Astyanax mexicanus: one gene and its partner. The protein of the gene in region 2 purifies or fractionates together with the protein of the main gene of each other region. This does not show direct contact. Links are inferred from orthologs where the notes say so. Each region holds a gene or a part of one and is shown on either strand. Other genes may lie near its edges.

The links.
Region 1: the proteins of ptpn9a (region 2) and lztr1 purify together in Homo sapiens (affinity purification with mass spectrometry; 3 studies listed by BioGRID and IntAct, with this or other methods). This does not show direct contact. The link is inferred for Astyanax mexicanus from reciprocal best matches to the Homo sapiens genes PTPN9 and LZTR1.

What each region holds. Positions count from the first base shown.
Region 1 is NC_064429.1:31,312,869-31,325,188, reverse strand, and holds the start of lztr1 (leucine-zipper-like transcriptional regulator 1), read right to left. Parts: upstream 5,975-12,320; 5' UTR 5,435-5,974; coding exon 5,265-5,434; intron 3,636-5,264; coding exon 3,573-3,635; intron 3,487-3,572; coding exon 3,430-3,486; intron 3,321-3,429; coding exon 3,241-3,320; intron 2,051-3,240; coding exon 1,942-2,050; intron 1,839-1,941; coding exon 1,758-1,838; intron 1,598-1,757; coding exon 1,540-1,597; intron 394-1,539; coding exon 254-393; intron 89-253; coding exon 1-88. Other genes in the region: pole (DNA polymerase epsilon catalytic subunit A), read left to right, coding at 8,125-8,189, 9,593-9,728, 9,931-10,011, 10,107-10,151, 10,244-10,336, 10,777-10,931, 11,143-11,287, 11,500-11,580 and 1 more. UniProt on the Homo sapiens protein: Substrate-specific adapter of a BCR (BTB-CUL3-RBX1) E3 ubiquitin-protein ligase complex that mediates ubiquitination of Ras (K-Ras/KRAS, N-Ras/NRAS and H-Ras/HRAS).
Region 2 is NC_064409.1:42,590,102-42,601,446, forward strand, and holds the start of ptpn9a (tyrosine-protein phosphatase non-receptor type 9), read right to left. Parts: upstream 4,584-11,345; 5' UTR 3,788-4,583; coding exon 3,755-3,787; intron 1-3,754. UniProt on the Homo sapiens protein: Protein-tyrosine phosphatase that could participate in the transfer of hydrophobic ligands or in functions of the Golgi apparatus.

The DNA of each region.
Region 1 (12,320 bases), on a different chromosome or scaffold from region 2:
GTCAAAGGCTACCATAGTGTGGCCATAGCGTCTCTGGGGCGGTGGAGGCGACCCTCTCAGTAAGTGCTCGGTTGGGATACGTGTCCATCTGTGGAGAGCATGAAGAACATCTTACAATACAGCTGAGTGTGATCCAAAAACAAATTATCAACACATTTCTAATCAAAACAGTTCTCTTACTGATTTAATTTATTATTTAATAGATAAATATTCAACGAGATGCACATTATAAAATGTATGTTAGAATACTTACATGTGTCCGTTAAACTCAAACTGGAAAAGGTTGTTGGTGATCTTGGCTCCACTTTGGCCTGAGAAGACAAACATCTTGTCTCGACACACAGCCACTGGGAAGTTACAGCAGGAGGGAGGAATCTCACCACTCTGTTCAATCTGGTGGGGAACAGCATAAGGAAAAAAACATCATTTTGTGTCTAAGGCTATGTTCACATTACAAGCCACATTGCTCAAATCCAATTAGACGGTTCACATTCACAAATGTAAGTGATCTGTATCTGTCTGTAATGTGAATGAATCTGTCCCTGAAACGCCTCACTTGTCACATTGATGCCTGTATAAACGTCGCCTTCTTCACCAACAACAACAAAAAAAAAAAACTCATATTTGAGATTCGTAGCTTTATAAAAGGGAATGGATCTTTTTGCTGGAGTGGAGAGTAAACAGCTGGTCTGAAGTTCATGCTCAGGTCGAGGAGGTGAAAAAAAAAAAAGACCAGGCAGTTTGCTTTTGCTGTTTTTTTTCCGCAGCTATAGCTGCACAGCTGCACCAAGAGATGTGTTGGTTGGCAAGAGAGAAGCACGTACTGCAGCGTAAAAGCAAAAAGATGCATGAATTCAGATTTGACCATTCACATTCATGTGGCATGTCCATTGATCAGACACATCTCAGATTTAGGACCACATATAAAAGTGACTCAAATCTGATTTGAAAAAACTCAGATTTGGCACGTTCACACAGCCATGAAAAAAAATCAGATCAGAGCCACATTGAGCAAAAAAAATCAGATTTGAGTCAATGTTAATGTGAATGTAGCCTGATATCTCGTAGTAATTAACACCTTCAGGATTACAGCATTCAGGGCAATTAGACTCCTCATCTGTAGGAGGAGCCCAAAAGAAAAAACACCAATTTTCTCTTAAAGCTGCTTCAACAATACTAATAATGACTACTACAGCTACTACTATATTAATAAAAAGAATCATAGATTAGCTATAGTAATATAGTAATTTATATAAAGCTATAGTCTTCATTTTTTAACAGAAATAAATGTATAAATAAATTATATATGGTTACATTCTTTTTTTTGTAAGCTATATATCTTTACAATACCTAACAATAAGTTATGTATTCTTGAATCAGCACTAAAACCTGCCTAAATCTCAAACACTATGAGCCCCAGAAAAAAAGTGAATGTACAGTATTCTTGATTGCAGGACACTTCAATTCAATATCATATGATCTAAACAGGTTATAGAGTTAGTCAAAATTTTAAAAAGAACCCTCAAAAGCCTTACTTACCTCTTCCCAACAAGCCTGCTCCCGATCCTGAAGCCCAATGGTCCACATGTCATTCAGTCTGTGGAGAGAAAACTAAATCTGATATACGTATTCACAGCATTTATAGCACTAAATGTTATATTTATTAAAAAACACCTGTTTAACATCATCATAGATCAATAAACACATTTAGCATTTTTAAATAACATTGTGAATTAAAGTAGTTCTTATGAACTTACCTTGCATTTCCATCATAACCAGCAAAAATCCACAGCTTGTCGTTATAGACTGTGGCACCATGAGCAGACCTGGCTACTAATCTGAAACACACATAAATCACATAAAGTGTAGATAAACAGCATCTTCAAGACTACAGTAGATTTTACATGCAGACCAGATATCCACACTATCATATTGTCCTACCTCCCCTCCACCTTCCACTCTGTCCACTGGCCAGTAGCAAACTTGTACTCAAACAGATCATTTTTGTTCTTCAGGTTGGAGTTTGAGTAGATATCTCCCGTGTATCCACCTGAAACATTCAAAGACAGTGATTAATGTATAATACAAAGCCTACAATTAAACTATATATAATTAGAATATACATATTTGCCCAGGGCAAGCTCACCAGTGTATATTAAATCAGTAGAGCTGGCAAATACGGTAAAAAATATTATATCACAATATTTGAAGACATTTTGTAGACATGTTGACACAGCAAAACGAATCACTATCACAATGTGGTTAAACAGGACTAAATGCATGAAACGCATAACTTTTTGTTTTTGTGGACAATATATGCAGTCCCAGAAATAATCCTGATAAATTTTGTCATTTTAAAACCATTTTATGCCACTGATACATACAGTCCCATAACAATGGAATTAACTTTTGATGATTAAGAACATTCAGACTTTAAAATTGGAATATGACAAACATAAGCTAAAAAAATAAGTAAGAATTTTAACAAAGTAACAATTGCCCTACGAAATTGCTCTACTAAAAAGAATAGTCCTAACAAAATATTTGCTTAAACATTGTTGCTATTCATTATAATGTCCAATTTTTGTGTTCATCAAAAACAAATATTAGCAAAAATAAAGCACACATTGTGAAATATTCATTCACTGTGAAAAAATAAAAACAAACACAAAATCATAACATTCTTTAACAGTTGGTCTCTAGCACAACCTGCTGGACAAAATAAAGTGTGTCTCACATGTTATGCCAATTCATTCTGCCTAAAGTCCTGAACTGACAATGTATCTATATCTTGAAACTGATTATGTACCTGTGCACTTTACGAACCTTTGAAAATTAGATTGAAAAAGCTCCTTATCTGGGCAAAAAGAGACTATTTACTCAGAAGAACACTAATATTAAAATAAATACATTAGTAATATTTTTCATAAGAAAAAGTAGGGTTTTTTACATCACGGTGCTTATTAAAACATCTTCAAAGCTCTCCTCAAGGAGTTCAGTGTTATTTATAGTCCTCATCATATCAACAGTTGGTTTGGTAAATCAGTGATTAAGGATGTTAAATCAGGTGAGCTGCTAATGTAACTGAACACATCCACCCTCTATCCGGGAGCGTCCTTCATATTTCTGAGATTAATTTTAAAACATGCACTCAGTACCAGTACTAAAATATGTATGTATGCATATTATATATATATATATATATATTATAATAACAATAATAATAAAAAATACACATACCAAACACAAACATGCTGCTCCCATACACGACTGCAGAGTGATGATATCTGGGTGCTGGTGGAGTGCCAGTGGTAAAGGCCCTGTTCAATTAAAATACATGAATAATATGATTTTAAAAAGCATTGCATTTGTAAAAAAATAAATAATAATAAAAACAAATAATAATCCTTTAAAATTCAATTTACCCACCGACACCATGAGCAGTCCTTCACATCAAAGCGCAGCAGATCATTAAGCATGTTTTTCCTGCAACAATATCATTAGTGAGACTTTCAATAGCTGGTTAATTTATTGACGTATATTATGTTTCACACCAGCATCCAATTTCTTACCCATTGTCTCCTCCAAACACGTAGATGGCATCCCTGTACGCCACCACTGTGTGCTTGCTGCGTCTGTAAGGGGACAAAGATAAATCAATAACTTAACGATGACCAAATACTGACAATACCACAATTTTTTGAATAAATTGATTTAGTAAACATACAACTCTTTGGGGTTCAAAAAGTTATGCTATTTACATATTTAACTCTTTGAACCCAAAAAAGCAGTATGTTTAGTGAATCATTTGTTGCAGTTACCCTAAAATTGATAGTAGTTAGTGGACGACTTGTAGTAGTTACTAAATCATTTCAGCTTGTCAATTTACATTAGTACTCAATTATTCACAGTAGCTTCCACATAAGTGGCTACGGAATTATTTACAGTAGTTTACTCAATTAAAAAAAATAGTTTAATAGTTTGCACTTTCAAAGATCTCAGTGTGTCGTTTTAAACGTCCGGGGCCTCAGAATTCTACCAATAAAGTGTGAAGCTACTTTGAGCTTGTTACTGGTGTAAAAAGTGATTTCTTTGCATGGGCAGCACTATGCCCCTATCACTAGCATTGTAAGCCTGTTAGTTGGGAGTATCAGCTAAAAGCACTGTATTTCTGAATGCTGGAGGTGAATGGAGGTGGGCTATTCAACAAAGGCTTGTACTCATGTTTGTTATCATGTTTTACTACACCCTAAGTTCATTTTCAGTTTTCTCAGCCCCGTCCCAACTTGAGTAGTGGGTTCTGATTGGACAGCGATTACATTTCATTTTGACACTCACTCCACGATGCTCCTAGACGAAATGCAATCCTGTGCAGTGTGATTTGCTTTTGAACATTCACAGCACTGCACAGTGGAATACAATGCAGTTAAGATGATTTTGTTGAGATGCATTTCAAGTGCAATTCTGATACGAATTAAGCGTTTGGTTTTGAAAATGTAAATTCTTGTGTACTGTTTTTTTAATGATAATAAAAAAGTGCAGGAAAATGTAATGCAATAGTGGTTTTGCATTTCATTCTGGCATGTATTCAGCATGTTAGTGAAGAAAAGCAATGCATCTTGTGGATTGCATTTACATTTTTTTACGGTAGCGTTTGGTTTTCAATTAGGCACCAATTTCTCTCTATTCATAGGTAGCTACAGCTCTGGAGAAAAATAAGAGACCACTTAAAAATTATGAGTTTCTTTGATTTTACCAAATCCAAAACCCCTGGAATATAATCAAGAGGAAGATGGATGATCACAAGCCATCAAACCAAGCTGAACTGCTTGAATTATTGCACCAGGAGTGACATGAAGTTATCCAAAAGCAGTGTGTAAGACTGGTGGAGGAGAACATGCCAAGATGTGTGAAAATTGTGAAAACCAGGGTTATTCCACCAAATATTGATTTCTGAATTCTTAAAACTTTATGAATATGAACTTGTTTTCTTTGCATTGTTTGAGGTCTAAAAGCTCTGCATCATTTTTGTTATTCCAACAATTTGTTCATTAATTTTCTGCAAATAAATGCTCTATATGACAATATTTTTATTTAGAATTTGGGAGAAATGTTGTCTGTAGTTTATAGAATAAAATAACAATGTTCATTTTACTCAAACACCAGAGAAACTGATTCAGAAACTGAAGTAGTCTCTTAATTTTTTCCAGAGCTGTATTTATACTGAAACCTCTGTATTTTGGGGGTCCAGCCCTGGTGCTTACCTTGCCCCAACAAACTCGTCGCAGGGTGGGAGTCGCCTCCAGCGATGGACGGTCTCGAAGGGACCGAAGTTGAGTGTCAGATACTCAACACTGTCCGAGCAGCTGTGGTCGAAGTCCACACTCGGGGCCACTTTGGACTTACAAGACATGGCTCCAGGAAACCATGACATTCAGCTGGAGCTCTACCCGGCGCTGTGTGACCGCCACGGGGGGAGAAATCAGACAGCTCGGCCTGGAGAAGGAGGGGGGCGGGTTTCTGACTAAAACAAACCACCAGAGCTAGCAGACAGTGCGGAGCTTTAAACTCAGAAGCTCATAGTAGCCTAATATCCTCCATATTCAGCATATTTACCATTATTATATTTATATAAACCTGTTTAACTAGCTAATAATAAACGCAGCAGCAGCAGCAGAGTTTGACAGACTCTCAGCCTTCCATTCTGCTAAGCTAACGTTGCTAAGCTAAGGCTGGCTAACTATCCAACCTAAAAACCAACCCCTAAAAATCAGGTTTTCTTTAAGGCCCCTCCTCTCAGATATTATCTAAAGCTCACTTTATGTAACAGGCAAATTTTAAAAGCTGCTGCTTTAGAAAGATAAAGAGCATAACTGATATTTTAAGCCAAACAACCAGTTAGTTAGCTAAGCTAGGCTAGCTGTTGCTACTTTCCTCATCGCTCCTATGGGCGGAGTCTCCCCAGCAGTTGCCATGCGTGATTTTCTCGATTCTGATTGGTGGATTCTCTCACTTACTCGCTCATTCATGTTTTTACTTTGTATTATTTATTATATGTTTTTATAAGCATTTTTCAATATCATGAACGGTTTTATACCATGAAATATCGTGCAATATCACCCAGCACTAATTATCACATCAGGGTACTGCTTTTTTGCTGTTTTTAGCAAAATAAAAATTCACACTCTTCTCATTTCCCATTATATATCTACCAGAGAAAGATTATATCTGTCCATTATCATTTATTCGACTTTATTTTAGGATATATGGAGATATTTGGAGTGCATTATTATTAGTATCATGACATTTTGGATCACTAACTTTTGTTAAAAATCTGTTAAAAAGTCTTGTATTTTTTAAAATCTCAGTTAGGGGTGTGCCATATCATATCGTATACAATAATAAAATGTAAGCTTCATTTTGCTGCAGTAGTGTATTCTTAAGATAATTTTATTTCACACACGCATACAAACACATATATAGTACCTAACCCTATCTAAACAGTATTTTTCAGTATTTTCACATTTCAGTTCTCATAAATAATGCATTTATTTAACAGGATTTTAATAAATGAATGGGATGATTAATATGTGTTACTAAAGTATTCTTTAATACAGTTATTTAGGACAATTGCAATTTATATCACTATTGCCTGTATATTAGAAGGTTAGAACAAGGAATTGAATAAGCAGAAAAATAAAAGGTAAACATAATAAACAAATAAGTGAAATTTAAAGAATCCTCAACATTAATATTAAAGATAAATAATATTATAATATATTATAATATAATATTAGCAAAGTCATCGTAATAAAAACACGGAGGGGGGTACGTAATAACGCTATAGTTTATTTCCACTTTAAACACTGAAAAAAAAAAACATTTAAACAGGTTTAGATACAGTCATTTATTCCATTTCCGCCACCTGAAGAAAAAAAAAACGTCCTCAACTAAGTCATAATTATGAGATAGTAAGTCATAATTATGAGATAAAAAAGTCATAATTATTAGATAGTAAGTCATAATTATGAGATAGAAAGTCATAATTATGAGATAGTAAGTCATAATTATGAGATAGTAAGTCATAATTATGAGATAGAAAGTCATAATTATGAGATAGAAAGTCATAATTATGAGATAAAAAGTCATCTCATAATTATGACTTTCTATCTCATAATTATGACTTTCTATCTCATAATTATGACTTAGTATCTCATAATTATGACTTTCTATCTCATAATTATGACTTAGTATCTCATAATTATGACTTTTTTATCTCATAATTATGACTTACTATCTCACAATTATGACTTAGTATCTCATAATTATGACTTACTATCTCATAATTATGACTTACTATCCCATAATTATGACTTTTCTATCTCATAATTATGACTTAGTTGAGGACGTTTTTTTTCTTCAGGTGGCGGAAATGGGCTTCCATAGTCATTAGTTCAGGAGCAATGCTTTTTTTTTTTTTTTTTTAGCAAAAAAATGATTTCTAAAATGCACCAAGGACCAATCCCAAATAGCAACAATGCTCCATATATACTGCATATAAGTTCACTACTTAGTTGAGTGCAGCAGCTGTCAATTTCTAGTGCCCTACATAGGGTGTATAGCCATTTGGGACGCGATCCAGGAGCTTCCATGTGCCAATCTGTGCCCCGATTGGTCAACAGGCATCAAGGGGCGGAGCCGTGCGCGCGGAAGCTGATGGGCTCTCGCGGCAAGTAGGGCAAAAACCCGCCAAACTCAGACTGGGGAAAACAGTAAAAATAGCCGCGAATATTAGAGAAAAATTTCAAGAAACTCTATTTTATATGCGCTTTAACGCCAACCGGCACACTCTACTTGTTACGGAGATGTGATATATAGTTGTGTTGGCTGAGAAAATAGAGAGAATTGAATGTAAATCGCTTATATATGTTTGTAAGTAGTTACGATAGCTAGCTGTGCTAGCGCTGGATGACAAGAGTAGTGGTTAGTTAGCTAGCGGGGGTTTAGCTTAACTAGCTTAGCTAGCTAGCTAACCTTTCCAGACACCTTAAGCTCTATAGAGCCTCTGTACTCAGATTGTTTACTAGTTAACTTACTAGCCAGCGGTTAGTAGCTTAATTCAGGATGGTTCTACAGAACAGTGGAAGATTCAGAGTAGACCGGGATGGAGGAGACCAAGACAACCAGCAGTAAGTTCTCACAACACTGACAACTAACAGCAGCAGTAGGAGGAGGAGTAACCAGAATATAACCTGAGAATGGAAAGAAATATCAGGCCTAAAATGTTGCTGAGTGTATAAAACAAAGCTGCAGTAAATATATTTAACGTGTGTTTGGTGTTATCTTCTATTTTAGGGGATAATTACAGTCTGATTTTAAAATGTAAAGCTTAAAGTGAGAGCTACCTTGGTTTTAAACTAGGTTAGGTAGGTTAAGTATTGTCACTAATTAAATATCTGGTATGGAGACATATGTAAAATCACTAAGACGTTGCTGAGTGCAGAACAGAACTGCTGTGAAACTTATTAGATAATGTGTGTTTAGATTAATCTTTTTTTTGGGTTAATTATTGTCTGATATTAAATCCAAAAGCTTAAATGTAGAGTGTAAGTTCTGATATTAAATCAGCAGAGCTGGGTGTTCATAATAAATATGTGTGTTCTGTATAGTAGAGGTGGGCAATATTATATCGTGACACAGAAATATCATGATATTAAAAATCCATATTGTGATAATAGGCCTTGTTTTGTTTTAAAAGTAGTCTATTATTTACTGTGAAGCTTTAGGTGTATTTATTGTATAATTGTTTGTTTGCAGTTTATATGCATGCACTAAATATTCTGCAATATTATTTGTTGCATTATATTATTTTATGCTATATTATTTATTTTCCCACATTATGATTATTATGTTATTCTATTATACTATATTCCTGAAATGAATGAATTATTTTAGTTTTCCTATATCGCCAAGTACATCGTTATCGCAAACAATACCCTGAAATATCGTGATATTATTTTAGAGCCATATCGCCCACCTCTACTGAATAGTCAATATTTTAACACTGTATAATCGTGAAACCTGGATATTGTGCCTAAAGAGGATCTAGATTTGGTAATGAGACCCATTAAAAATTTTCCCTCATTCATTTTGTCTTATTATATGTGCATGATGCAGCATATTGATTGTGATTTTGTATCCAAAGATATGTGGTGGGTTTTGATATATACTTTTTTTTAAGCTATGATTAATTACAAAAAAAATATTCTATGATATTGTATATCGCAATAATAAATTGTTATTGTGAAAGGTCTGTATATTTTACTTGTATTTTAGTAATTCAGACACGTTAAAATAAATTTCAAAACATAAAGTCACTCAAGACATCCAAGGCAAAAAGAAAAATATGACAGAACTTGACCAAAGGAAGATACACTACAAGTAACACTGATGCTCTTTTATACCTGATACTCTGATTTGACACTGATAAAGCGAGTTGCTGTTGTTCCCAGCCGCTTCCACTGTGTTATAATATCACTACAGCTACTGTTTATTAAAAATGTGCTAATGTAATGAATTGTTTTGCCTAAAGGGATGATGGACCCGGCATGTCTGCCGTCAAGCGGCTTGAACGAAGTCAGTTTACTGATGGAATGGACACACGCTTCGGATTTGAGCGAATGAAGGAGCCTGGAGAAAAAACTGGATGGCTGATCAACATGCATCCGGTACGTGGTCAAAAGGGTCATATACACAATAATAATAATAATAATACTCTGTTAAATGTCTGTTCATTTAATACAAATTAAGAATGTATAAGAAATAATTAACCCAAATTCATGAAAACATCATAACACTAAGCACCTAATAAAGCAATCTGTAGAGTTTTCACTGCTCTCAGTAACTCCTGTGATATCTCACTTCTGCCAGACGGAGATTTTGGATGATGACAAGAGGATGATCAGTGCTGTGGATTATTACTTCATTCAGGAAGATGGCAGCAGATTCAAGGTTAGGAATAATGTTACTAAATCAGCAGTTGATGGTTTGGTTAATTTGTTTCCCTCTCTATTTCATCCTTTAACATTCACTGTTTATTTTTGTAGGTGGCTTTACCCTTTAAGCCATACTTCTACATAGCCACTAAAAAGGTAAGAATAAAAATGTATCTACAAACATTTAGTACAACATATAAAGTAGGGTTTTTCCAATGTGACCTCTTTATTTTCTGTAAATTCTGTAGAACTGTGAGAGAGAAGTCGTCTCCTACTTGTCAAAGAAGTACCAAGGAAAGGTGGCAAAACTGGAGATTGTGCCCAAAGAGGATCTAGATCTGGTAATGAGACACATTACATTTTTACATAATTTATTTAGCCTTTTTTAATTTTTATGACACAGCATGTTAATTGTAATACTGTGTGCAAAGATATGTGATGGCTTTTATTGGGTTTTATTAAACTTTTTTTTATTCAGTAAGAACAGTGGCATCTTAAGAATTAAGCACTGATGTCTAGAGGCTGACAGCAATCTTTGCATGTGAACTATTCTTTAAAAATATTGCTGTTTTTTAAGAAACGATACAGTATTACAAAATATTTTTGTGATTCTCGAGGATATTGATATTTTCTTACACCCATCATTGTAACTCTGTTGCATATCAGATTGTCTGTCAGTCTTTCAAACCTTTTATGTGCTTATAAATTCAGAAATTTCTCTCTATTTATATTATGTTACTTTCATTTTAGTATTGTTTTAATATGCTGTTGTTTATTCCAGCCGAACCACCTGGTGGGTCTGAAGAGGAACTACATCAAACTGTCCTTTAACACAGTGGACGACCTAATCAAAGTGAAGCGAGAGATTTCACCTGCCGTTAGAAAAAACAGGGAGAGAGAGAAATCTAATGATGCCTACACCAGCATGCTGTGCAGGTATTTTTCATACATCCCAATTTAGAAATTACACATAATAATTGCCATTCTCTTTGATTATTATGGTTTTATATGAAACTCATTACAGTTTTATGTTATTTTCATGCAAATGTAACCTGAATTGAAACAATATGATTACACAAATTGCACAATATTTAATCAGAATGTTCTGATTATATAAGATGTTCACCTTTGGTGATTTGTGTTGTAGTGTACTCGCAGGTGGGAATGTGATGACAGCTGATGAAGATGGTACATCAAAGAAAATGTCTGACCAGCTAGACAACATTGTGGATATGAGGGAGTATGATGTACCTTACCATGTAAGGCTGTCCATTGACCTCAAGATCCATGTGGTAAGAACACACTCCACAGATTCATAATTAAGAATTATGTTGTATAGAACACATTTGCATGTGTGGTCTCATCCCATCCATGTTTTGCACTGTGCTACGAAGTTTTCTAGTGGAGCTAGGTGTTAATATTGTGCTGACAGGTTTAAATTAGTTAACTTTGTCTCCAGTATTTAGATTTGATGTTGATTTAAACTAACCTTGTTTGATTTCAGGCTCACTGGTATAACGTGCGGTACAGAGGCAGTGCATACCCTCCTGAGATTGTGCGTAGGGATGATCTTGTTGAAAGACCTGTAAGTACTAGTATCACTACTACAGTACTGTACCCATTACGAAATAAAGTTACAGGTATTTCTGTAAGGTGGCAGTTTTGATTTTTAAAAGTAAAATATTCTATTCAATATATTGAGCTTATGTGTAATAGTCAGAGTAGTCCGCTTAAAACACAAAATTCATCGAATGCAGTTTATGTATTGATTGTATAGCTTCTCTTTTACAGGATCCTGTTGTATTGGCATTTGATATTGAGACCACAAAGCTCCCTCTTAAGTTCCCTGATGCAGAAACAGACCAGATTATGATGATCTCCTATATGATTGATGGGCAGGTAAGTGATCTTCACTAAGTGTTGTGTAGGGCTCTTAAGTTGATCCGAGAACTAAGGCAGATCATAAAGAAGTCTTTGTGGTCATTGAGATGGGGGGATTCATATGAAAGGAGATTAAGGGGGGAAAAAAAAAGAATGAATTTAGAAATACGTTTTTTTTATAGGGGTGTCACAATTTCGATATTTTATTGAAATCGATCGAAATTATGTCATGGTCTCGAGCCTCGCAAATGGCGCAGCATGCTAGGCAAATGGCGCAGCATGCTAGGCAAATGGCGCAGCATGCTAGGCAAATGGCGCAGCATGCTAGGCAAATGGCGCAGCATGCTAGGCAAATGGCGCAGCATGCTAGGCAAATGGCGCAGCATGCTAGGCAAATGGCGCAGCGCAGACATTGTGAATGCTCAAAGAGCAGCCCTTTCTCCA
Region 2 (11,345 bases):
GCTATCTAGCAGTCGAGGTAAACTTTTAATTAAAACTGATACAGTTTTGCAAGAAATTGAATGATCAATCAGATATACATCGCAATAGACAATTTTTCGTCCAAATAAGCATTTGGTGATTATTTGATGGCCAGATCATACAATCCATATTTTTTCGAGTTGCTGCAGTCTTGAGCAAAGTCAACAGATGCTCAATTTTTCATTTAACTGCTAAATGACAAAACAGACCTCACTCATGCCGGTAAAAACAAATAAATGACGCTATACCAAGTCAGACATGAAGCATTGCAGAAATCCTGCACAATATTTCATTACCCAAAAGATTGCCTGGAATAGTGAATGTGCTTTCAGCCAATAAAGCTAAAAGATGATAAACATTTGGTATGACCCCAAAAAAAGTGATGAATCCATCTCAAAGTATTGCAAAACTTAATATTGTGTAAATATATTTTTCCACACTGCTAGTACAAATTAGGCCATTGGTTTGAAAAGGAAAGGAATTAAAGAGGGGGGGGGGGGGTCATATTTCCAAACAAACTCCCAAATGTGGTTGTAAAACAACTCTCTTCAGTTTAGGAATGAGAACCTGAGGGCATAGCTGTTTGCCAATTTTTCTGCTTTAGCACACCAACCAAATCTCGCAATTAATGTGCGAGTTGTATCAGGTGTGTCTGAGCAGGAAATGCATAAATTGTACAGGAATTCGACCCTCCAGGACTGAGTTTCCCCATCCCTGCTTTAGTTTATCAGTGTCATGCAGGTCAAAAGAGGCTGCTCAGGCTCTGCTCAGTCTGCTTAGTCAGCAGTTGTAATTCTGAAACTCTGGAGGAGAGATTTCAGTCATCATCTGTGGAAACCACGCTGAGTCAACAGGATTTACACATGAAACGAAAACTCACTAAAGGCAGCCCTGCTTTCAGAGTTTTGGAACTTTCCAAATTATGATTAATTTCATTCACTACGCTAAAACTTAAAATAAAGCTTGCTTACTGTAAGCCATATGATCATTCACCTAATGCACGCTAGCTAGTAGCGACTTTTTGTTGTCCCACATCAAAAACTGGCTTCACCACACAACTCGACTCCATCTTGGAGTGCATCCAGATGTACTGACCACTAAATAAGCATTCTTCCCCTGGGACAGAGCTCTGGATCCTTCCACCCACATATGCATTACAACCGTAAAAAGGACACGATAACATGGCAAACAATGGGTAGAGCTTATTAGAAATAATCAGTGCCATTCATGTAATGTTTGTGGAGCTGTGGCATGACCTACTGGTGATTATAAAATGTTTAGAAGCCAACCCCGTGCAGGTCCATGTCATTAAGTGCAAAAACAGAGACAGACAGCCCCTGTGCCACATTCAGGTTGTCACTCCTGTCTATTTTGGCATCAGTCGATGCTGAACAGGAAGAGCCGTGCGTCATCAGCTCCATCCATGCCTGCCTCTGTCTTTCACTCCTCTGTCACTTGCTTTCTCACACTCACCCACCCAACCCCCGCCCTGATGCTTCCTGGGAGATACCCCCGCCCCACCACTTCCCACCCCCGTGAGAGTCCTGCAGCAGAGCAGAGCCCTCATTCAGTGGAAATGCTTTTAGCAGCTGCCTCAGAGAACGACCGAGCTGCTGGGCTGCCAGTCCCTCCGGGCCCACTGAGCTCCGGACATGTCCAGCCTGAGATGTAATTACTCCCAAACACACACACACACACACACAGAAAAGCAACATCCCAGATAAGGCCCACTGCCTTGCACCTCTCCTGAGATGGCAAAGTGGATGCAGGTCCCTGGAGTGAAGAGAGAGCTTCATTCACAAACTAACTGGCTGGCAGACAGACACTGTAGGGACGAAAGATAACAGCGCAGCTTTGTTTCTCTCCCAGTGAGGTGAGCTGAGGGAGTCTAAGAGATGGTCGATAAGGCTGGGCCTCATTCAAATGAGCTGCAAAAGCAGGAAAGAAAATGACAGAAGAGCTTTGTTCAGGTACAGGACCACTGATCCTTCTTTAAGCCTTCAGAACAGGTTCCTGAACAAGTCGCCAGTAAGCGGAAAGTGCAAAGACAGGCTCATTTACCACATTTTTATTGACCTAGAGCTCAACCCAAAGTACTATAGAAGCATTGAGCATTTTTGGCAGCTCTATTGCATGTGGTGGTGTTTTTCTCCTTTATAACGCACTGTAAATAACAGGCGAGGATTATATAATGGCCATTTCCTGTTTGAGGCCCTCTTTTTTTATGGAAACACTGACCGTTTACTGGTGGGACTAATAGCACAGAGGCATGACTCTCACTTATTTTCACTTTAATCTTGTATTTTTGCTCCTTCTTATTCAGGGAGACACACACTGAGGGTCACAGAACCACAGGTTCCCCTGAAATCTTATATATAAACCTTCAGACTCAAAATTGTTTAAAATAGAACTACATCTCTTAACCCAACAAACTGAACCTCCAGCCTAAACGCAGGGACGTGTCCTTCAGGCTGGAAGATTTTAGTCCGACAGTGAAAACTGAAACTTTCTTTTCTTTTCGTGGAAATATTGTGAAATCTAGCCCTGATTCCTGGTGTTCACCGACCTCTCATGCACCAAACACACACACACAAACAAACGCAGCACATTCTCTCTTAACTCACACAGGGTGAGGTCTGAGCTGTCTTAAAACCTCAAATAGCTAGGTGAGTGGTTTCACTACTGTCAGATGTGTAGAAGTACATGTGTGAAAGTGTGTCACAATAAATATGAAAAATATGTTGATTTATCATATAATACATGGACATGACCTTATTCCTGGTGATTCACATTGCCTTACTAGGAGCATGCTGTTGAGTGTCTATGAACACATTCAACTTAACTTTTCTGAGCTCAATGGATAGGAGAACATAGATTTCAACACTAAGATTAACACTAAGAGCACATTTCAGTACAAAGTGTGTCATTAATTCTGTTTAACTTGATAACATCAAGCACATTTTGAATATAAATTACTGTATTAGTCAGCTGTAGGAAGACCAGGTATTATTCAGCCACTCCATAATATCCGCCACTCCTGTGTAGGTTAACAAGTTAGCTTATTATACCTGCATGTCAGAATGTACTGTAATAAATATTTTGTACTGAGAACATATCTTTAAATATTGTGCTTATGTTAACCCTCTATGGCTTGGTGTTGCCCTCAGTTTTTTGTGATTACACAAACTCTTTAATTTTAATGTTCTTTCTTTTAATATATCACAAGACAAGCCTAACTACATAAATAAAATGCGGGGGAACAATTTGGACATTCTCTCTAGAGGTGGGTTTGGTTTTGGGACGCAATGCTAGTAGTTGAGAAGATGAATATAATGCTTTAACATGTTTAAATTTAAATTAATCTAAGATAAAATGATAAAATATGTTTAAATGCATCAACATGTAAAATGTTTTGAGGTATTAACATTTGTTCATTTATTTGTTTAGATTAAAGTGTTTTTTATTTTTTGCATCAGGACACATTATGCAGTCAGACTTCTTATTAAGCAGTGTTTCATTTGTTCCTTTAGATTAAATAAAAATTCATGCCACAGAGGGTTTATATTTGTACTAGTTTCTATCGCTTAGACCTGTGTTTAACATTAAATAACCTTGGACAGCTAACTAGTTAGGTTAACTAGGCTAGCTAGCTAGTTAAATATTCTGTGACCTTAGAAAATGACAGCTGTAGCAGTTAATGTGTTTCTGCCTCTCGCTATTTTTATTTCCACTTACCTGCTCTTCCTCTGCTGTTAAAGTGGCGGCCATTCTTCCTCTGTGGTATTTAAGTATTTAAGGCACCTTCTCTCTTTTTCTCCTCCTGAGTGGTCCGTCAGTAAGTCCGAGAGGGAAACGACTGACTGTAGATATTAGGAGAAATTAAACCGCGACAGCAGCAGCAGCTCCAGATCTCACTCAGACCTGCTGGACTGAACTAGACCTGGTTACTGAGGGCAGCAGCTACTCAGCCATCGGGTTTGGCGAGACATACAGCCGATTTGAGGTAAACAGAAGAAAAAATACACTACGTTACGCTGGGTAATTAACCTAGACAAATAGCACTTAGTTAGCTAGCTTATAGGTGCCATTATAAGAGCAAGAGACCTGGCATTCTGTCGTAACGAGCTACTTAACAGCTAGTTAGCGTTAGAGCGAAATTCTGCTGGAATTCAGATGCGCAGCAGCAACTTAACGTTAGTCTCGACCTTCCGTGCCATAACGGCACAAAAACGGTAACCAAGCGGTAACCAATCACACCAGCATCCCGACGCTACTCAGCTATAGCTAACGCTGGATTAGCTAGCTAGTTAACTATCTATAAGCAACCCAGGTTACCGTTTGCTGGCGAACCTCTAAAAATCTCCAGCTAGCCTAGCTAATGTTGTGTTAGCCCGACCGAGCGCTCGGCTTCATCTCCCCCTGTTCCCCAGCGGTCAGATACAGTCGACCAGAAGCACGGCGAGCTACAGGCGAGGCCAGGCCGCGTCCCTCCGACTCTGAGGCGGATAAAAGTTACTAACACATCTGGACGCCCCGCGTCGGTTTTCGAGAAGGGTATAGCTGCAGCCTGGAGCACCTCCAAAGGAGAGGAACATACCTCCAAACAGGTGGAGCCTACCTCCAAGTAGGATGGTGCTTGGTGTTAGGCGGTATGGTGTTTTTCACGACGTTTTGTGCTTGTAAATAACCCCAAAAGTTAATTAATTAATCTATTTCGTTTATTAAATGTTTATTTTCTTTTAAAATGCATTTTCTAAGAGTCTAAAAGCATGTTGTGCACATTGCAACCACATTTTATTTATTTAAAAACGTTTAAACATTTGCCATGCTGTGAATTTGTCAAATTATAAAATAGTAAAGATCTAAATAATAAAGGCAGTTGTTTATTCATAGCCAATAATATTATAAATACATACACACTACACGTATATTATTTGACATTTAAGAAATATAAATAATCATTAATTGTTGACTAAAATATTTATTGACATCCATGAGCCTTTTAATCACGGAGGACTTTTTTTGTGGCATTCGGCAGAAAATGAAGCTGTGTTGGGTGAGGTCTCCCTGCCTTGCGATGTAGACTTTAATATAATAATATGATATAATATAATATAATGTGATAGTACAATTTATATAACATTAAATTCTTTGTAATAGAATAATAGTAATAATAATAATCACGGAAGGTGAGAGAGGTCTCGCGCACAAACGCGCTCACAGTCTCGAGCCGGTGGACTTCCCACTTGGAGGTAAGCCCCTCCCCTTTGGAGCTGTGGACCTCCCATTTGGAGGCAAGCCCCTCCTCTTTGGAGGTGCTCCAGTCTGCAGCAATACATATTTGCGGTTTTCAGGCTTTTATCTTTAGTTGGGAAATGGAGCTCAGAAAAAAAGCTCCAGCTTCAAACTCCCCCCTGCCGGACACACGCAGACACTGCAGCCTGGCTCAATCCTCCTCCTCTTCCTCCCTCCTGCTCTCCCTCTCTCTCTCTCTTTCTATCTGCTCCATTCATAAAAATACCACTCCGCCATACTGAGAGAGACTGCAGCTGTAAACACACACACACACACACACTCTCTCTCTCTCTGTCCAAAGTCTGAGTGCAAAAAAGCAATAGGGCGCAGAATGTAAGATAATGTTTTAATGTAAAACTAGATTTAACTCGTCTTAAATTAGCAAAGTGAGAAAAAGAACACCCAGTTCAATAAAAAGGTAAGTTACAGTGAGATGACTCTCTGTGTGGGCGGGTCTGTATGCTTTAGACCAACATGATTGGCAGATCCAGCACCGCCCACCACAGAGCTCCTCCTTACTGCTTTGTTTTCACACTGACAACATCCTGAAAAATCCACACATAAAACTCCTTCAGAAGGACAGACTTAAAAGACACCCCTCTAAAGAGTACCCCTCTACAATAACTGTACATTAATAAACAGTATTATTTTTTAATTGACACTAATAAAGACATTATTAATCATTTAACACTTGAACTTCTTTATTTATTATTATTTACAACATTACAGAATTAACATTTTATAATATTTAATAATGTCTTAACTACTGTCTATTAATAATTAGTCGAGACATTACTAAGCCACTTAACAATGTTTATTCTTGTTGTAAGTACTTTTAATTGATGTACCTTTATTTTAAAGTCTTGCCAAAAACAGTACTCTAAGTAATTAGTGTTCTTTCATTCTCCCATCTTTCTCAATTTGTTTAGTTTGTTGTCAAGCCCTATTTCTTAAAACCCATTAATGTATGGAAATCACAAATAGTACAATGGAGAGAAATGTTTGGTTAGGGTTAGGGTTAGGGTTAGGGTACCACTCAAACAGTACCACTCAAAAGTTTGGACACCTTCTCATTCAATGTATTACATTTTCCCCCCCTATATTGTAAATGAACACTGAAGTCAACCAGACTATGAAGGAGCACATAAGGAATCATGTAGTAACTTAAAAGGGTTAAACAAACCAAAATACTCTAATCACACGTGCTGTTTAATTTGTGGTACCTCTAATGAACTTATCCACCTGGTCTTCATACCTGTCAAGTCTCCCGTTTTGGCCGGGAAACTACCGTATTTTACTCCTCTTTCCCGCTGTCCTCCCGTATTAGTATTTTCCCGTAAATTTCCCGTATTTTATTAAAATAAAAAAATATATATTATTGAGGATACAGGGCACTGACCGCTCTGTGTCTCTTAACCAATCGTGGAGCCGGTTCAAGGAAAAAGTCCCGCCTTTCAGGAAAAACAGCCAATCAGCTTGCAAGGAGGGTCAGTGTGGGGAAGCCCCGCCCTCCTCGCTGTGAGTTCAGGCAGCTTTTTTCTAAAAGAAAGGTAACGGTAGTCTAATCATGGAAACTGTGATGAGATTTTTCTGATAGCTGCTTAAAAATACTCCGAAATAAAACACACAGATTAAACCTTTTAAAATAAAAAAAATTACAGCTTGTGACTCAGTTTAACTAGAAATGTGGAGAGGACCGACATTAACTGAACTGATCAGGGGTGGAGTGATCAAAAGGAAGAAGTATTAATTAAAAATTATTGCGTAGGCCCCTTAGGACTAATTTTTACTGATGGAATATATCTGGTCCATGTCCTTTTAGTAAAAGCTCATAATACCATTTTTAGGTCACCAACAGTCATTTTGCAGAATTTGTGCACTCTTTGTTCAATTTTAAATCCATTAAATAAATAAAAAATATATCATATAAAAGAGTGCATTTATTACAAAAAAGACATGAAATCTTAAATAAAAAAAATATATAGAAAAGGGTTTTTAATTTGGCTGTATTAAAAGAATGACATATGTAGGAATGTCCACAACATGTTCAGATTCTGATAATCTAATTGTAGTGTAAGTGTTTCACATGTGGTTATTTTAGATTTTTTGTAAACCTGTTTTAACATGTAAGGGATACTGAACCTTCGTTGGGCTGGTGGGACGGCTTTAAGCGGACAGAGGAAAATATCCCTTATTTTTAAATCTAAAACTTGACAGGTATGCCTGGTCTTTTTGATGAGAGTCCTGATGAATGGTCTTTGTGATTATCCTTAATTTCTTAACATTACCCACACAGGGCTATTTACTGTATACCAACTCTACCTCTTCACAACACAACTCTCAAACACATTAAGAGGACAAGAAATTCAAGTAATTAACAAGATGTGCAAAACTGTCATCGAAGCAAGAGGTGCCTATGTTAAATCATCTGAAATATAAATAACATTCTGGTTTGTTTAACACTTGTTTACTAAATAAGTCCATGTATTTTCTTCATAGTTTGGAGGACTTTAATGTTAATCTACAATGGAGAACATTTTTAAATGACTAAAAACACAAAAGGTGTAAACACACTGAATACTCATTTAACCTCATTAAGGTGCTACCTAGAACCACCACCTGACATCAGACACATAAATGTTTTTAAGGCAGCATAAACCGATTTAGTTCTGATGTAAATACTTTCCAAACTGGCCAAACAGTTTATCAATGGTGGGATACAAAAATAATAATATACATTGTAATAGTAACATAAAAAAGTCATAGGCTCCAGATATGGGCCACGTTATAACAGTTTAAACACATCTCTATTTCTGAGACACATTCATCAACCCAAATTTCTCCAAGTACAACAGAAACACCAGTTATACTGTAATCGCTGTGCAATGAATAGATTTGCATATTCCATAACCGGCAGCAATCAGATTTCAGTCGGCCTGACTGAAGATGCATTTGACTACCAAATGGAAATACATGTGAATCAAATCCTATCAGAATCTATTTGGATACTAGTCACATGAAGGAGCCACATGTAAATGGGGTATTAGTGTTCTCCCCCAACTGTGTTGAGGTGTCGAATGACCGCAGTTCAAAAACATGTTGCTATTTGGTGGTCCAGTCTAGTCAGTACCTACTGGCAATCACTGAGGTCAAGGCAGGAATGTACCCTATCGAGTGGGTAGGTCTACTCCAGTTCATTGCAGGGTACCACACACACATTTACTTACTCACACCTCAGGGGTATTTTAGCATAGCCAACTCAACTACCATGTGTTTTGGGAATATGGAAGGAAACTAAAGTACATGGAGGAATCCCACAAGGACACTGGAAAAAACAAACCCCTCACAGTCTGTTTTTTTTTTTTTTTTTTTTTTTTTTTACTGTATAACAGGTTATGCACTGTCAAAAAATCTAGATTTTTTTTATCAGGCAGTAAGCCAGGCATTAGCTGGGAGGGAGCATTAAAATAAACATAAATATTATGAAAGTGATTTTATCATCCTCCTACCTTCAGTCAACTAATGGGGTCAGCAGGCACTTCACCTTATCCTCCTTCTCTTCCTCCTCCTCCCTATTTCACATAATACAGGCACAGACAGTGCTATTCAGAGCTTTCTGAGAAGACAGGTGCTGAGGGTTCCTGGAATGCAACGCATGACCTATACCTTTCATTTCTCTTAAACCACACAGCTGTCAGATGTTCTGCTGTTAATTATATGTACTAAAACCCACTGTAAGTGAGAAGAAGCCCTTTGTTATTTGTGTACCATCATTTCCTTTTCACTCACTGGTTTAGTGCTATTGGTCATGACATTAAAGAAAACAGGACGATAAAAATCTGTTTTTCCTTGTGTTTGCCATGTTTAGCAAACAAGATGTACTATAGTAGGAGAGTATACTAGGAGAGTAACACAATTTCAATTCTCTGTATGTCCTGTACATATGCGGTATTGACAATAAAACTACTTGACTATAATTAGAACCCAAGGAAACAATATAAAGTATCACCAGCCAAGGAATTTTATTAGTCCTATGTGAAAGATGTGACCAATAAACTAAATGTATTTAATAATCAGGATCAGTTACTAGATTTAGTATACTAAAAACAAAGGTGTCAAAAGTATTTACACTCATTACTTAGGTAGAATTAAAAATAAAAGAGCTTAAAAATACTTCTGTAGAACTTGAAGTATCAACTCAAGCTTTTTACTCAGGTACAAGTGTAAAGGTTCTGCTTTCAAAACTACTTAAAGTATAAAAAGTAAAAAAAAAATGTTATGTTAATGTTATATTAAAATGTTGATGTTGAAAATTGGTAATGCACTAGGCTCCCTGTTTCAGCTGCATATATGCCCATTGAAGATGAATGCATTTTAGTACAATGTAAATATATTAAAGAAGCTTAGTTGGGACATTTCTCTTGAGTCTCTGGTATTGCTCATCTTCATACTAGACTACATACGTCGGCTATGTTCTTGTAGAAGTGTGGGCGTGACATGGTGTCGGAATGGTATATGTTTATATTTTTCAACCAACCAAAATCAGATTTGGATCTGGATGGAGAGATTTATCTGGATAGTTTTTATTTTTTTGTACAATGAGAAGCCAGAATGAAAATGTGCAGATATGAAATGGGAGTAATGGGAGGCTGTTTATAAAATGTAAGGAGTAGACAGTTCAGATAATTGTGTGAAAATGTAAGGAGTACAATTAAAAAGTTGGCTTAAAAAAGGACTCCAATGAAGTATAAATAACCAAAATGTCTACTTATGTAAGATAATGAAGTATTTGTACTTACTTACTTACTGGACACCTGCTAAAGACATAAAGGCTAATTTACTGCCAGTCACACTCATTATAAACATCACTTTAAAATAAACATTTAAAACAAGCATCATACTATGCCACAATTAAAAGATTAAGAAGAAAAGTACATGTTGGAAATACACTGACATGCCAAAAATCATGGGATAGTTTAAGCAGTTTGTAAATTGCTCAAAGTGTTACCTAAGGTATTGGTTTGGACATGCTCACTCCTGTATAAGTTAAGTGTGTGTGTGTTCAGACACCATTGAGCCTGCCTATGATAAGGCAATGTGAATAACCAGGAATAATTATTCAAGGCATTACCACCCACAGTGATCTGTGCAGTGGGTGGTAATGGTCGTGAAAGGTGGCATCTGGCGAGAACGTCCATGTGAAGAGACAGCGTAACTCTGGCAGAAATTACATCCAAATTTAATGCAGGAGTTTCCCCGGTGTTTCTTGGCTTTCATGGAATATTACAAAAGTCATGGGACAAGATTCTAGTTCCTGTTCCAAAAAAGGGTTATAACATCTTTAAGAGCCATAATCAGTGTTCTCAAGTCTCAGTCACACGCACCTCAGCAAGTACATACGCTCACAGGGCACACATGGTATTTCTCACCATCCATCGGCTGTTTATTATAATGTACTCTCGTTGAGCCAATCAGAATATAGATCGCTCTGTTGTTAGGCAGACCTAGTCAAAGAGGGTGGAGTTTCAGCCAGAGTGTCAGGTGCGAAGAACTGTCCCCCTCCCCCTTGGTACAACTGAAGACGAACTGCACGCACTCACCACTTGTAAGGCTTGTATATTCTGTGGCTAAATCTGAAAATCTGAAAACATAAATTGATAGAATAAATTAATGTTTTGGGTTGTGCTATCATTGACAACAATTCACTCTTTCTTGTTAAGTCAAAAACAATTTATCCTATAGTGATAGGCACCTATAGGGCGCCACATCATGTTTAACCTACTGGATTGGCATTTCTTTATCAGAGAAGCACTTAAATGCACAAGTTGTCACCTGTTTATCACATGTAGAAGAACCATATACATCACTACATCCAATTTTGTGTAATGAAAAGATAACTCTTTGGGACAAAGTCTAGTAGGGGTAGCATATATTATTGTAGCTTCTTAATAGCTGCCTTTTCTTTTAGAATGGCAGAAGGGGACCCACAGATGGGAACTTATTGAGACTCGTTATTAAACCTCCTTTACCT